4 linked regions of the Saccharomyces cerevisiae S288C genome follow. The protein of the gene in region 1 interacts with the protein of each later gene in a biochemical or structural test. Each region holds a gene or a part of one and is shown in the gene's direction. Other genes may lie near its edges.

Evidence for each region.
Region 2: of the proteins of YAP1 (region 1) and TRX2, one has a biochemical effect on the other in vitro, tested with the Saccharomyces cerevisiae proteins (one study listed by BioGRID).
Region 3: the proteins of YAP1 (region 1) and YBP1 form a complex in vitro, tested with the Saccharomyces cerevisiae proteins (2 studies listed by BioGRID).
Region 4: the proteins of YAP1 (region 1) and HYR1 form a complex in vitro, tested with the Saccharomyces cerevisiae proteins (2 studies listed by BioGRID).

The regions. Positions count from the first base shown.
Region 1 is NC_001145.3:251,984-256,525, forward strand, and holds YAP1 (DNA-binding transcription factor YAP1), read left to right. Parts: upstream 1-1,864; coding exon 1,865-3,817; downstream 3,818-4,542. Other genes in the region: ERG6 (sterol 24-C-methyltransferase), read right to left, coding at 1-1,007; MIN4 (Min4p), read right to left, coding at 1,179-1,289; GIS4 (Gis4p), read right to left, coding at 4,109-4,542. UniProt on the Saccharomyces cerevisiae protein: Transcription activator involved in oxidative stress response and redox homeostasis.
Region 2 is NC_001139.9:912,317-915,073, reverse strand, and holds TRX2 (thioredoxin TRX2), read left to right. Parts: upstream 1-1,846; coding exon 1,847-2,161; downstream 2,162-2,757. Other genes in the region: YGR210C (uncharacterized protein), read left to right, coding at 336-1,571; SER2 (phosphoserine phosphatase), read right to left, coding at 2,262-2,757. UniProt on the Saccharomyces cerevisiae protein: Participates as a hydrogen donor in redox reactions through the reversible oxidation of its active center dithiol to a disulfide, accompanied by the transfer of 2 electrons and 2 protons.
Region 3 is NC_001134.8:655,076-659,724, reverse strand, and holds YBP1 (Ybp1p), read left to right. Parts: upstream 1-2,124; coding exon 2,125-4,149; downstream 4,150-4,649. Other genes in the region: PYC2 (pyruvate carboxylase 2), read left to right, coding at 1-1,018; ATG12 (Atg12p), read right to left, coding at 1,333-1,893; HPC2 (Hpc2p), read right to left, coding at 4,408-4,649. UniProt on the Saccharomyces cerevisiae protein: Involved in oxidative stress response and redox homeostasis. Required for hydrogen peroxide-induced oxidation and nuclear localization (activation) of YAP1. Functions probably in concert with HYP1/GPX3, the actual YAP1 modifying enzyme.
Region 4 is NC_001141.2:421,460-424,267, forward strand, and holds HYR1 (peroxiredoxin HYR1), read left to right. Parts: upstream 1-1,668; coding exon 1,669-2,160; downstream 2,161-2,808. Other genes in the region: NRE1 (sepiapterin reductase family protein), read right to left, coding at 1-331; sepiapterin reductase family protein IRC24, read right to left, coding at 615-1,406; GTT1 (bifunctional glutathione transferase/peroxidase), read right to left, coding at 2,350-2,808. UniProt on the Saccharomyces cerevisiae protein: Involved in oxidative stress response and redox homeostasis. Functions as a sensor and transducer of hydroperoxide stress.

The DNA.
Region 1 (4,542 bases):
TCCTTGGAACCTTCTGGGGCTAGACCTAATTTTTCCATTACAGTAACCATTGCTGTAGTAAATTGTCTACCCAAGTAAGAAGTTCTGAAAAATGTGGCCAAATTAGCTAAGTTTTGAACGTACTTCCACTCACCAGTTAATGGGTAATACCAAGGGATTTCATCATCATTGTCCGCCAGGTCTTCGCTAACGAGGACTTCGAAACCACAGTTCTTCAATGCTTTCCTAGCCACGTCGACATGGAACATCTTTGGGATACCATCACCTAGTTCAATTTCATAAGCGATCTTTCTATGTTCAGGATTGTTTTCGTCATATTTATCAGTCATTACCCATTCGTAAACAGCAAAGGTACCACCCGGTTTCAAAACCTTGTAGATTTCGCTGTATACACCTTCTAATTTTGGAGCGTGACATGTGGCCTCAATTGCATAAACTTTGTCGAAAGTGTTTTCTTCGAAATCCATTTTCATGAAATCACCCTTTACAAAGTCCATTTGGTCACTCAAATTGTATTTTTTAGCGTAATATTTTGCCTTGGCAATTTGGTAATCGTTATTGTTTAGACCGATGACGTTACAACCGGTAAATCTTGCAATCTCTCTTGCTGGGCCCCCAACACCACAACCAACGTCGAGAACTAAATCGCCTCTTTGAATACCAGCCTTGTAAGCTAAATAATGTTCATGTCTTGCTATCGAGGCAGCGAAACTCTCACCTTTATAAAATCTGCTGAAATGGAAAGAGGAACCCCAACCATATTCATAGAAATCTGTAACGACGTTATAGTAGGAATGTGTGGCTTCATTATAATCCTCAAGACGACGTTCTTCGGCATCTTTATCGGTTCTACCATCCCAATTTCTCAAGTACTTCTGAACGGCTTCCTTTTGGGCAGAGTTGTTCTTCGACATCAATGCACTCAAACCTGTCTTTTTACCAATATCATCACCATGTAACTCCCTAGTGAATTGGGCCTGTCTTTTTCTCAATTCTGTTTCACTCATCTTATGCTGCCTACTATATTATTATTTTATTCTTGTTTTTTTAAATTATGTAAAACTTAAATCGAAAGTAAAACAGATAAGGGAAACTTGAATGAAAATTAACAGCTTATAAATTACAAAGACGAATGGAAAGAAAAAGAGAGCAGCAGAGGATAGGAGAAAACACCCGAACTATATAAAAAGCAATGAAGAAGTTATCGGCAACAGCAAGTATTGGAGGTTTCTCACCAATCTTCGCATAAAACGCATGCTTCGTAAGGCGATAAAAATGAAGTGTACCATTGAGACGAAGTGGAGCAGTTTACAGTGAATAATACATTGTCTGCTCCTCACTTACTCTCGCTTCTCGAAAACTTTTTTGTATTTATCGGAAACGGCAGTAAACGACGCCAAAAATTGAAAATAAGTACGGGAACGAGGTACCATATACGAAGATCGGGGCTTTGTTCGGCCCTAAATTTTGCTGATCTTACCCTGTTGCATCTTTTCAAAAATAGTAACCAGCCCTAGCTGTTTGGTTGATTTGACCTAGGTTACTCTTTTCTTTTTCTGGGTGCGGGTAACAATTTGGGCCCCGCCAAAGCGCCGTCTTTGTCATGGGAACCGGAAACCCTCCGATGAAGAGTAGGAGGGTGGCAACTGATGGATGCGTAAGGTCTTAAGAGATACATTTGCTTAATAGTCTTCCGTTTACCGATTAAGCACAGTACCTTTACGTTATATATAGGATTGGTGTTTAGCTTTTTTTCCTGAGCCCCTGGTTGACTTGTGCATGAACACGAGCCATTTTTAGTTTGTTTAAGGGAAGTTTTTTGCCACCCAAAACGTTTAAAGAAGGAAAAGTTGTTTCTTAAACCATGAGTGTGTCTACCGCCAAGAGGTCGCTGGATGTCGTTTCTCCGGGTTCATTAGCGGAGTTTGAGGGTTCAAAATCTCGTCACGATGAAATAGAAAATGAACATAGACGTACTGGTACACGTGATGGCGAGGATAGCGAGCAACCGAAGAAGAAGGGTAGCAAAACTAGCAAAAAGCAAGATTTGGATCCTGAAACTAAGCAGAAGAGGACTGCCCAAAATCGGGCCGCTCAAAGAGCTTTTAGGGAACGTAAGGAGAGGAAGATGAAGGAATTGGAGAAGAAGGTACAAAGTTTAGAGAGTATTCAGCAGCAAAATGAAGTGGAAGCTACTTTTTTGAGGGACCAGTTAATCACTCTGGTGAATGAGTTAAAAAAATATAGACCAGAGACAAGAAATGACTCAAAAGTGCTGGAATATTTAGCAAGGCGAGATCCTAATTTGCATTTTTCAAAAAATAACGTTAACCACAGCAATAGCGAGCCAATTGACACACCCAATGATGACATACAAGAAAATGTTAAACAAAAGATGAATTTCACGTTTCAATATCCGCTTGATAACGACAACGACAACGACAACAGTAAAAATGTGGGGAAACAATTACCTTCACCAAATGATCCAAGTCATTCGGCTCCTATGCCTATAAATCAGACACAAAAGAAATTAAGTGACGCTACAGATTCCTCCAGCGCTACTTTGGATTCCCTTTCAAATAGTAACGATGTTCTTAATAACACACCAAACTCCTCCACTTCGATGGATTGGTTAGATAATGTAATATATACTAACAGGTTTGTGTCAGGTGATGATGGCAGCAATAGTAAAACTAAGAATTTAGACAGTAATATGTTTTCTAATGACTTTAATTTTGAAAACCAATTTGATGAACAAGTTTCGGAGTTTTGTTCGAAAATGAACCAGGTATGTGGAACAAGGCAATGTCCCATTCCCAAGAAACCCATCTCGGCTCTTGATAAAGAAGTTTTCGCGTCATCTTCTATACTAAGTTCAAATTCTCCTGCTTTAACAAATACTTGGGAATCACATTCTAATATTACAGATAATACTCCTGCTAATGTCATTGCTACTGATGCTACTAAATATGAAAATTCCTTCTCCGGTTTTGGCCGACTTGGTTTCGATATGAGTGCCAATCATTACGTCGTGAATGATAATAGCACTGGTAGCACTGATAGCACTGGTAGCACTGGCAATAAGAACAAAAAGAACAATAATAATAGCGATGATGTACTCCCATTCATATCCGAGTCACCGTTTGATATGAACCAAGTTACTAATTTTTTTAGTCCGGGATCTACCGGCATCGGCAATAATGCTGCCTCTAACACCAATCCCAGCCTACTGCAAAGCAGCAAAGAGGATATACCTTTTATCAACGCAAATCTGGCTTTCCCAGACGACAATTCAACTAATATTCAATTACAACCTTTCTCTGAATCTCAATCTCAAAATAAGTTTGACTACGACATGTTTTTTAGAGATTCATCGAAGGAAGGTAACAATTTATTTGGAGAGTTTTTAGAGGATGACGATGATGACAAAAAAGCCGCTAATATGTCAGACGATGAGTCAAGTTTAATCAAGAACCAGTTAATTAACGAAGAACCAGAGCTTCCGAAACAATATCTACAATCGGTACCAGGAAATGAAAGCGAAATCTCACAAAAAAATGGCAGTAGTTTACAGAATGCTGACAAAATCAATAATGGCAATGATAACGATAATGATAATGATGTCGTTCCATCTAAGGAAGGCTCTTTACTAAGGTGTTCGGAAATTTGGGATAGAATAACAACACATCCGAAATACTCAGATATTGATGTCGATGGTTTATGTTCCGAGCTAATGGCAAAGGCAAAATGTTCAGAAAGAGGGGTTGTCATCAATGCAGAAGACGTTCAATTAGCTTTGAATAAGCATATGAACTAAAGCGGGAACTTTATGGAAAACTGGGTAACCGAAAGAACTTTTTCTATAATGTTACAATTAAACTTTTTTAACTTACCTTGCTTCGCCTTTTCGCCGAAAGTAGGTAGATTGTATCACCTCGGTATTTTTTTATGTACACAACCTATACTTTAAATATATTTAGACTATGTATGAATTCTCTGTATCACCTTCAATGTCAATATAGAAACTGGTAAGTGCAATAGTACCAATAATGATTATAATTATAATACAAGTATATATATATATCTATATATAGTGGTAAAGTATTCTTTACATGATGGCACAACGCTGAGATTTATCCGTACCTGCAGAACCACTGTTTTTATGATTCTTAAACCTATTCATCTGGAATTTCCAACGCTTTCTATCCTTGTTAGTGGCATGAGTAGGGTTATCTATGCCGCTTAAAGACTTTAGTAATGTAGGTAAAGGCAAACTTTTGGACCTTTCCACGGCACTCATAGCATTGATGGAACTCTTTATCTTTTTCAACTCATTTTTGGAATTACTTTCATTGTTACCCTTGGAATTAGGTTTGTGAGAATTTTTTGTCTTCAAAGAATGGCTAAAATTCGAGGAAGTCGTATTAGAGTTCGACAGTTGTGTCATTGGATGAGGTTCACTTGATAAAACTGTACTTTCACCTGTTTTAGAGTTATCCAACTCGTTACTATTACTTTTATCGATTTTTGTAACAGAATTAT
Region 2 (2,757 bases), on another chromosome or scaffold:
AACTATAAACTTTTAGGATATTCTAGCCCTGATGGGGCTAGAATATTCTAGAAAACTCCAGAGGGTTTCGGCACAATTTATTGTAGGGTTAGTAAGGGCTTTTTTATCAAGGTGAAAAATTCACTCGATGCCTTTTTTTTTTTTTCTCGAATAGATAGATATGCAAGAAATGTAATGCTATGCAGTGCAAAACAGATGTGTAAGTGTTCTAGGATGAATTGTAATGAGAGTTGGTTTTATTTTCATTTTGCGTTTTCGTTTTCCGTCTTTTAGCTTTTGTCCAACTAACTTGTAGTATAAGCTGTCTGTAAGAATAAAACGGAAATAGAGCCAGTATGCCCAGGGATCCATTGATTGGTATTGTGGGTAAGCCATCTTCAGGGAAATCCACCACATTAAATTCTTTGACGGACGCAGGTGCGGCGGTAGGAGCATTTCCCTTTACCACGATCGAGCCAAATCAGGCAACCGGCTACTTGCAAGTTGAGTGTGCTTGCTCCAGATTTGGCAAGGAAGATCTTTGTAAACCTAACTACGGGTGGTGTAGCAAGGGTAAGAGGCATATCCCCATCAAACTGTTGGATGTGGCAGGGCTTGTGCCTGGAGCGCATTCCGGCAGAGGGCTTGGAAATAAATTCTTGGATGATTTAAGACACGCAGATGCTCTTATTCATGTGGTGGACGTTAGTGGAACCACAGATGCAGAGGGGAAGAACACAAGAGGATATGATCCATTGAACGATATAGAATGGCTGCAAGACGAAATCAGGCTTTGGGTTGAGGGGAACCTGAAGAAAAGATGGGGGTCTATTGTGCGTAAACATACAGCAACGAAATCTAGCATAGTGGACACACTTCAAGCGCAATTCGGTGGGTACGGTTCACATGCGCCCATGATCCAAAAAGCCCTGGACAGGTTGAAGGGACTACCACCTTTGGAAAAATGGGATGACGAATGGATCACTCGAGTGGTCAAGTCCTTTATGATGGAGAAATTTCCAACTGTGTTGGCACTCAACAAGATTGACCACCCTGACGCCGATAAAAATGTTTCTAAAATCATGCTAAAGTATCCTGACACCAAAGCTGTACTGACCAGTGCAGTGACGGAAGTTTTTTTGAGGAAATTGAAAAAGCAAGGTTTTATATTATACGAGGAGGGCACGGAATTTGTTGACACATTTGAGGACGAGCCAGACAAACTAAAGCCACTGGACGACAAGATCCTTAACAGAATTGAAAATATCAGAGATTTGGTCCTGTATAGATTCGGATCTACGGGTGTTGTTCAGGTTCTGCAAGCAGCAACGGACATCCTTGGTCTAATACCGGTGTACACTGTGAAGAACATCCAGACTTTTACGGGTGGCAACGGAACCAACGTATTTAGAGATTGTTTTTTGGTCAAGCGAGGAACCCCTGTTGGCAAAGTTGCCAGGTATATCATGGGTGGCGAGGTCACCATTGCAAGCATTGAAACCGTTGGCGGCGTGAGAGTCAGTGAAGAAAGTCTTGTTGAGCCCGGTAAGAATGACATACTCGGCTTCAAGATCGCTCCAAGATCAGCATAACTTGAGTGCCAGTGAATATTAAGTAATCATCAAAGTATATGTGTAATTGTTTATACTCTTAGTAAAGGATGCTCCCTACAAGGTGGCTCTTTTCTTACTAAGCGCGTTCAGTTTCCAGCCAGCCGAAAGAGGGATATCAGTATATAAGAAAGCCATTCGGGGGATGAAAAGCTGACAAGAGAATAACGAGGACCAGTTTTTATTTGTTGTCTAGCAAGAATTATACACGCACACATACACGAGAGTCTACGATATCTTTAAATAACACATCAATAATGGTCACTCAATTAAAATCCGCTTCTGAATACGACAGTGCTTTAGCATCTGGCGACAAGTTAGTCGTTGTTGACTTTTTTGCCACATGGTGTGGGCCATGTAAAATGATTGCACCAATGATTGAAAAGTTTGCAGAACAATATTCTGACGCTGCTTTTTACAAGTTGGATGTTGATGAAGTCTCAGATGTTGCTCAAAAAGCTGAAGTTTCTTCCATGCCTACCCTAATCTTCTACAAGGGCGGTAAGGAGGTTACCAGAGTCGTCGGTGCCAACCCAGCTGCTATCAAGCAAGCTATTGCTTCCAACGTATAGTTGCCGGTATATTAACGCTACGTAAAGTACATCATGTTTACCAGTTTAAATAAACAATTTTAAAAAGAAACTCTATTACATCTATCTATCATTATTTTCTTCATTGTCTATTGTATATTTCATCATCGGTGTAACCAAGAATGTATAAAATGTCAGTCATGCTCTTGGTATTCAACTTACAAGGTGCAGCTTTCTGCACCTTTGGCTTGGCGTTCCATGCGATCCCAAACCCGGCGGTAGCCATGGCTGGCAGGTCGTTACCACCGTCACCCACCATACAACTTGCTTCAACTGGAACATTGTAGTCATTACATAGTTGCAGAAGGGTTTCACTCTTGCACTGTCCGTCTACGATAGGACCCAGTGTTTTACCGGTTAATTTTCCATCAGTGTCAACTTCCAACAAGTTTGCCTTACAAAAATCTAAACCTAACTGATCCTTGATAAAACCGGCAAACTGAATAAAACCACCGCTTAAAACAGCGAGCTTGCAATTTTTTTTGTGAAGGAACTTGCATAGTTCTGGCACACCCTTGGTGACCTCTAGCTTTTGTTTTATTTCATCATATAGTGTATCGACTTGGAGGCCTTGCAAT
Region 3 (4,649 bases), on another chromosome or scaffold:
GGCCGACTTGAAGGGACCAGATCCAGAAGTTTACCAACATGAAATCCCAGGTGGTCAATTGACTAACTTGTTATTCCAAGCTCAACAACTGGGTCTTGGTGAACAATGGGCTGAAACTAAAAGAGCTTACAGAGAAGCCAATTACCTACTGGGAGATATTGTTAAAGTTACCCCAACTTCTAAGGTTGTCGGTGATTTAGCTCAATTCATGGTTTCTAACAAACTGACTTCCGACGATATTAGACGTTTAGCTAATTCTTTGGACTTTCCTGACTCTGTTATGGACTTTTTTGAAGGTTTAATTGGTCAACCATACGGTGGGTTCCCAGAACCATTAAGATCTGATGTATTGAGAAACAAGAGAAGAAAGTTGACGTGCCGTCCAGGTTTAGAATTAGAACCATTTGATCTCGAAAAAATTAGAGAAGACTTGCAGAACAGATTCGGTGATATTGATGAATGCGATGTTGCTTCTTACAATATGTATCCAAGGGTCTATGAAGATTTCCAAAAGATCAGAGAAACATACGGTGATTTATCAGTTCTACCAACCAAAAATTTCCTAGCACCAGCAGAACCTGATGAAGAAATCGAAGTCACCATCGAACAAGGTAAGACTTTGATTATCAAATTGCAAGCTGTTGGTGACTTAAATAAGAAAACTGGGCAAAGAGAAGTGTATTTTGAATTGAACGGTGAATTAAGAAAGATCAGAGTTGCAGACAAGTCACAAAACATACAATCTGTTGCTAAACCAAAGGCTGATGTCCACGATACTCACCAAATCGGTGCACCAATGGCTGGTGTTATCATAGAAGTTAAAGTACATAAAGGGTCTTTGGTGAAAAAGGGCGAATCGATTGCTGTTTTGAGTGCCATGAAAATGGAAATGGTTGTCTCTTCACCAGCAGATGGTCAAGTTAAAGACGTTTTCATTAAGGATGGTGAAAGTGTTGACGCATCAGATTTGTTGGTTGTCCTAGAAGAAGAAACCCTACCCCCATCCCAAAAAAAGTAATTTTTACTCGTTAATTATATTTTATGACATCTGAAAATACTAGCTGTACTATATATGGCGTATATTTTATCTAGTTATGTTCCCATGTATATTTAAATGCCAAATAGAAAGTAATCAAACACTTTCGATGAAATACGTGCTAACTGTGTTTCTTCCTTAATGCTTTCACTTACCATGTCTCCATTCTCCATTTTCTTCTTGAGTGAAAATGTGAGTTTATAACGCTCAAGTACGTTAACTACTCTATTTAATATCGTACGGGATTTTTGATCGACTGTAGGTTTTCTTCTTAGACCATTCCAGCGCCCGGGTATTTAACCAAACGCTACGGATGCACAATAACTTACAATAAGCTCATCATTAGTCTTGAATTGCATCCAAAGTTCACCAATATTTTGCTGCGGACTTGGCGCAAACGAATTATTTATATAACAATAAACATGGTCCATTTTCAGCCGTCTCTTAAGAAATAAAATAACCATTGCAAAAGACTGTGACATTGATATTTTACAAACAGATGGTTTTAACTGCCCAATAGAACCAATGGGCTGAAATTTTATCTGTATCTTTTGTATGTTTTTTTCGTCTTTATGGCTTTTTTGTTTGCTTGTTTGTGCATTCGTTTTGATTGTCTCTTCCTGTTCATAAGTGCCACTAGAGGAATCTTCAACTTGCTGGTCGACAGAAATGTCACTCGCCAAACCAAGCTGAGACAATCTCCTGCTAAAAAGTTCCAATCTATTTTGAACGGTATGAGGAGATGATCTTAATTCTTGATTATTTCTGGATCTTTCCATTGCCGTTCCATTATTTGTGGATATGATGGAGCTTTCGTCACTTTCTGTTTCATTTTCGCTCTCTAGGATCCTACTCATACTGTCATTGGTTCACTCTACTGTAGAATATACAGTTAGGGATGTACGTTTATTTCTTCAGCTCAAGTAGCTTTCTGTCAAACACTAAGCGGGCATCCTTCATAAGTACGATTCTTTAAATTTGACAATGTAAAGGAAAAAAATAAAGACTAATTGCCGGTGAACATTATTAACAAATAAACACTGAAAAAGAAAATCACCCTAGACATTCAATACGATACTCAGACACTAATGGAACCAATTGATGACATACTTTTTGAGGTTACTGATGCGTTCAAAACTCAGAAGGAGGATCTTCTTGAGTTGGTAACATTGATTGATATATATGGCGAGCAAGTTAACCAAGAGGGGAGCTATGAAGAAAAGACGAGATTCATTGAAACTTTGAATACATTGTTAGAGGATAATCCGAGTACTACTGGTGAAATCGGTTGGGATCTGCCTAAGGGATTATTGAAGTTCTTGTCAAAGGATAATGTCGATGTAAATGGAAGACTAGGTACGAATATGATTGTCCAAGGTGTAATGAAGTGTTTCTATGCCATCTCAATCCAAGGCGAGCCCAAAAAATGTTTAATTACTGGGTTGGAGTTGCTTTCATCCCTTTGTTCAAAAGATTTTTCCAAGAGTGATCAACAGAATAAGGAAGACTTTGTTGATAAAAAGGCCAATACGTTACCTCCTGAAGGAGTAATCGAAAATTCCTCTAATCGAAAAGATTTTCCATCCTACGGTGAAAGCAAGAGTTCAAATGAATTTTTCTTGAAGTTGAAATCCTACATTTTATTTGAATTCATAGGGGCGAGTCTGAAAAGGATTTCTACTCTGTTTCCTTCGAAATATCTGGGAGCTGCTGTGTCAACAATTGAGAAATTTGTGTATAGTCATGCGGACACTTTTGAAGATGCCCTTTTCCTTCTTCGTAGGGTGTACACATTCTGCAGGAACTATATTCCCCCTGATCCACCAAAAGATATACAATTGAACGAAGATTTTACTCGAGAGATGTTTGATAAAGTTGTGGAGGAAGAAAGTGAATTACAGGTTAGACTATTGCGTAGGCTTTGTACTTTTGGTATTTCGACACCCATAAAAACTGTCACCACCAATGCCGACGTGAAATACTATTGTGCACTAAATCAACAGAAGTTTGAATTATCTGCATATTACACCGAATATCTTGAGCTATTTTGCAGGTATTACCAAATGGCGTTCTCGCTTGATGTTGATATAGAGGGAGAATTTCAGAATGTGATAAAAGAATGTAGGATTATTTATAAGTCTGTACCCCAGGAGATTTCCGCTGTTAATGATGAAGCAAAGTTGGTTTTGGAAAGAATGGTATATAAATTGGCTTATACATTCGAAGTACAAAAGGCCGCTAAAGAAAAAAATGTTGGTTTGGACTATAATGGTGTAATATTATTTTCTGGTATCCACTATTTGGAAACCAATCAACATTTAGTAAAGGAAATGAATATAACGGATGCCATTTATCTCTACTTGAGATTTACAACTCCATCATTATATTCTAAAGTTTACTATAATGTAGCAGTTGAATCAGTTAGTCGCTACTGGCTATGGTATGCTATTACAACCGAGCCCTTGGAGGATGTAAAAAAAGAATTGAAGAATCTTTCAGTGTTTGTTACAAAAACATTATTGCATGTTCTACTTCAAAAGAACTGTATTCAGGTCAATCAGCAGTTAAGAATGATAACTTTCACTCTTCTCACCAGATTACTATGTTTAATACCTGAAAAAGTTGCATTTGAGTTTATCTTAGATGTGCTTAAGACATCTCCCCTTCCATTGGCTAAGACGTCCGTATTATGTGTTTTTAAAGACCTTTCAAGGCGACGCATCTCCACCAAGGATAACGATTCTGAGACGGATTTGATTGTCGAAAAATTATCCAAACTGAAGGTCAATGATAGTAACAAAGCTCAGCAAAGTAACATCAGACATTATATCCAACTAGATTCTTCCAAAATGAAAGCTGTTCATGACTGTTGTCTGCAGACTATCCAAGATTCATTTACGGCAGATGCCAAGAAGAGTGATATATTATTACTGCTAACTTACTTGAATATTTTCATTGTGCTAAAAAAAACATGGGATGAAGATCTACTGAAGATTGTTTGTTCGAAGATTGATTCTAATTTGAAGTCAGTCGAACCTGATAAACTTCCGAAGTATAAGGAAATTGTGGATAAAAACGAATCTCTAAATGACTATTTTACTGGTATAAAATGAAGTTCTTATCTATTTCATTTCCACCAAGATATTGAACATGCCATACTCGTTTCTGGTTTTATAGCCAAGTTTATAGATTCTCTAAGGTGAAATTATCTATTTTTTCTTTCACCATATTATCGGACATAGATACATGGATAGAAAAGCATTCGCTCGGAAAAATCTTCATATAAACTGACTATATACTTTCAGATATAGGCACACTTTATTTCATTTTTTATGTCGTTCAGGGATTTTGGAAAATCTCTGACACAATGCTTATTTATTTTTAACACCACCTCTTTTCATGGTACCATTTGCACGCTCCAAACTTGCATAGTGACCTTTTTCGATTAATGGACCAAAGTAAACAAAAAAACCGTCCTTGGTGGCAGCACGCTGTTCCTCCCACAATAACTCCGAATCATCAATGAACGGATCTTCAACGTCATATTTACCAATCAAATTTTTACCTTTCATAGGATGCGACTTCTTCTTCGGAGAGATGGTGGTAGTTACAG
Region 4 (2,808 bases), on another chromosome or scaffold:
AGTTGATGTCATACAGCTTCTTCCAAGCGTTGACATCAATCTCGTTGACATTTTGCACGGGCTCTAGGACACCAGCGTTGGCAACCAAGGAGTCGATCTTGCCGTGGCCCTTAACAGCAGCGTTAACCAACTGCTTCAACACGGAATCCTCGGTAATATCACCGACAACGTAAAAAAACCTGTCGCCATACTTCTCTTTCAACTTCTTCAAGGGTGCCTCAGACCTGGCTACACCGTAAACAACCGTGTCCTTGTCCAAACTGAAAAGAACATCCACGATGGACTTACCGATACCTCTGGAAACACCTGTAACTAAAATAACTTTACCCATGTTTTTTTAACCTGTTACACGCTGTAGTTAGACCCTTTTTTTTAGGTACAATATTCTTCCATTGCACTTGATCTTTTTCGTTTACGTATATATATGCAAAAGTTAATGTTCATACTGTCTTCTCTTCATTTCTTTGAAAACACCGCGGAATTCCTTCGGTGATACATTCAATCCGGTTCTTGGCACAGAAATGGCCGCACAAAACTGTCGCTCATCGCAAACCCAATAAAAGTTTAGTAGCTAAAAACTATAACTATACCCTTTTACATAATATAGTTTAGTACTAGCCCTGCACCGGCCCCAGTCGCTCATCGTTGTAGCGGAGATATTGACCGTTCAAAGAGTCGGGAATACCTTTCAGGACGAGTTGCGCTAGTACCGCCGCAGGCACCTTTGGGTCCAGCAGTGACGAAGTCTTGTACAATTGAGTAAACCTCTCGAGAGCCTTGGGTGTCATGCCCTGAGGACCCAATGTTTCCCTAATATCTTTCTGCATCTGCGTGTCAACGACGCCCGGTGCAATACACACGGCACGCACTTTATCACTGGGCTCTTCACTGGCAATGTCCATGGCAAAGTGGTTTAATGCGGCTTTCGAGCAGCCGTACGCCGACCATCCGTTATATGGTTTCACACTGGCTCCAGAGCTGACGAAGACAATGTTGCCTACAAATGGCGAGCTCTTCAAGAGGGGTAAACACAGTGCCACCAAAGAGACAATGCTGAAAAAGTTCACATCGAACAGCCGTTCCCACTGCTTGATGTCGTGTTCGGAGTTGGACTGGGAGATGGACTTCACCGGTTCTAGCATCCCCGCATTTGCGACAATACCGTCCAGTTTTCCATGCTTTTGCCGGATTTCCTCCACCAACGCTTCCATTCGAGACCTGTCCGTGATGTCGAGGACACGATAGACAAATTTGTCTGCACCGTATTCTCTTTGCAAAGACTGCAGACCAGCTTCCGTTCTTGCTACGCCGTAGACGATGCATTCATCGTCCTCTTCGATAACAGTTTTCACCAATTGCAGGCCAATCCCACGGGAGGCACCTGTAATCAAAATAACCTTGCCCATATCCCTTCTTTGACAGATTATAAGTTGTTTCTCTTGTTGCTGTTCGCGACAGCCCTTATTTCCTGTATTCCTTCTTCTTTTTCTGCATTATCGTTTTTAGCCACTTTACGAAAAAGGTCAAAAAGTGAAAAAAAGAGGGAAAAAACCATGAGGAACAGTATGCTCCCTTAATATCGGAAAAGCAATAGTAATAAAAACAGCATCAGAGCTTTCCACGTCTCTCTCTTCCAAGCTGTCATCTCGTAAAGTATTCAAGTTTATCATGTCAGAATTCTATAAGCTAGCACCTGTTGACAAGAAAGGCCAACCATTCCCCTTCGACCAATTAAAGGGAAAAGTGGTGCTTATCGTTAATGTTGCCTCCAAATGTGGATTCACTCCTCAATACAAAGAACTAGAGGCCTTGTACAAACGTTATAAGGACGAAGGATTTACCATCATCGGGTTCCCATGCAACCAGTTTGGCCACCAAGAACCTGGCTCTGATGAAGAAATTGCCCAGTTCTGCCAACTGAACTATGGCGTGACTTTCCCCATTATGAAAAAAATTGACGTTAATGGTGGCAATGAGGACCCTGTTTACAAGTTTTTGAAGAGCCAAAAATCCGGTATGTTGGGCTTGAGAGGTATCAAATGGAATTTTGAAAAATTCTTAGTCGATAAAAAGGGTAAAGTGTACGAAAGATACTCTTCACTAACCAAACCTTCTTCGTTGTCCGAAACCATCGAAGAACTTTTGAAAGAGGTGGAATAGGCAGGTCTTCTTCTTTTGAAGTTAGGTAAAGCTTAGTTTTCTTTTATATTTCCTGATAATACATACTCGCTAGTCAAACCTGTCAATTATTATGTGTCGCAACAGACTATATACGTATACATACATATGTATTGAAGTGTGTGAACGAATTACGCGGCTGCTAGTGCCGTACGAACGCAACAAAACGGTTTAGAAATTGCTACCTAAAGCACGCGCCTTTTCCTTAGAAGCAGCATACGACTCCTCTGAGGTTATGGTCTTTAACCATTTGGAAATGGCAGGATAATCCTCTGGTGCGGCAAACTTTCTTTCAAACGCCATCTGCAAAGGGAAAGACATCAAGATATCGGCACCGCTCAACTTCCCATCAACCAGGTAGCCGTTATTTTTGGAAATTTCACCCTCCACAAAGTCGAACTGGTTCTTAACTTCACCACTAGAGTATGCCTGACTGATCTTGTCTGCCACTTTTCTTGCCAAGTACGAAATAGGGAAGGGCATACCAGAATCCTTCACCTTTGAAAGAATGAACTCAATCATTAAAGGTGGTTGCAAGGAACCTTCTACATAAAACAGATAATAGTTAATCTGGTCTGCAATATCAGCATCTTCGCTCATTAAAACGTGTGAATGATCAAAATGCTGCAA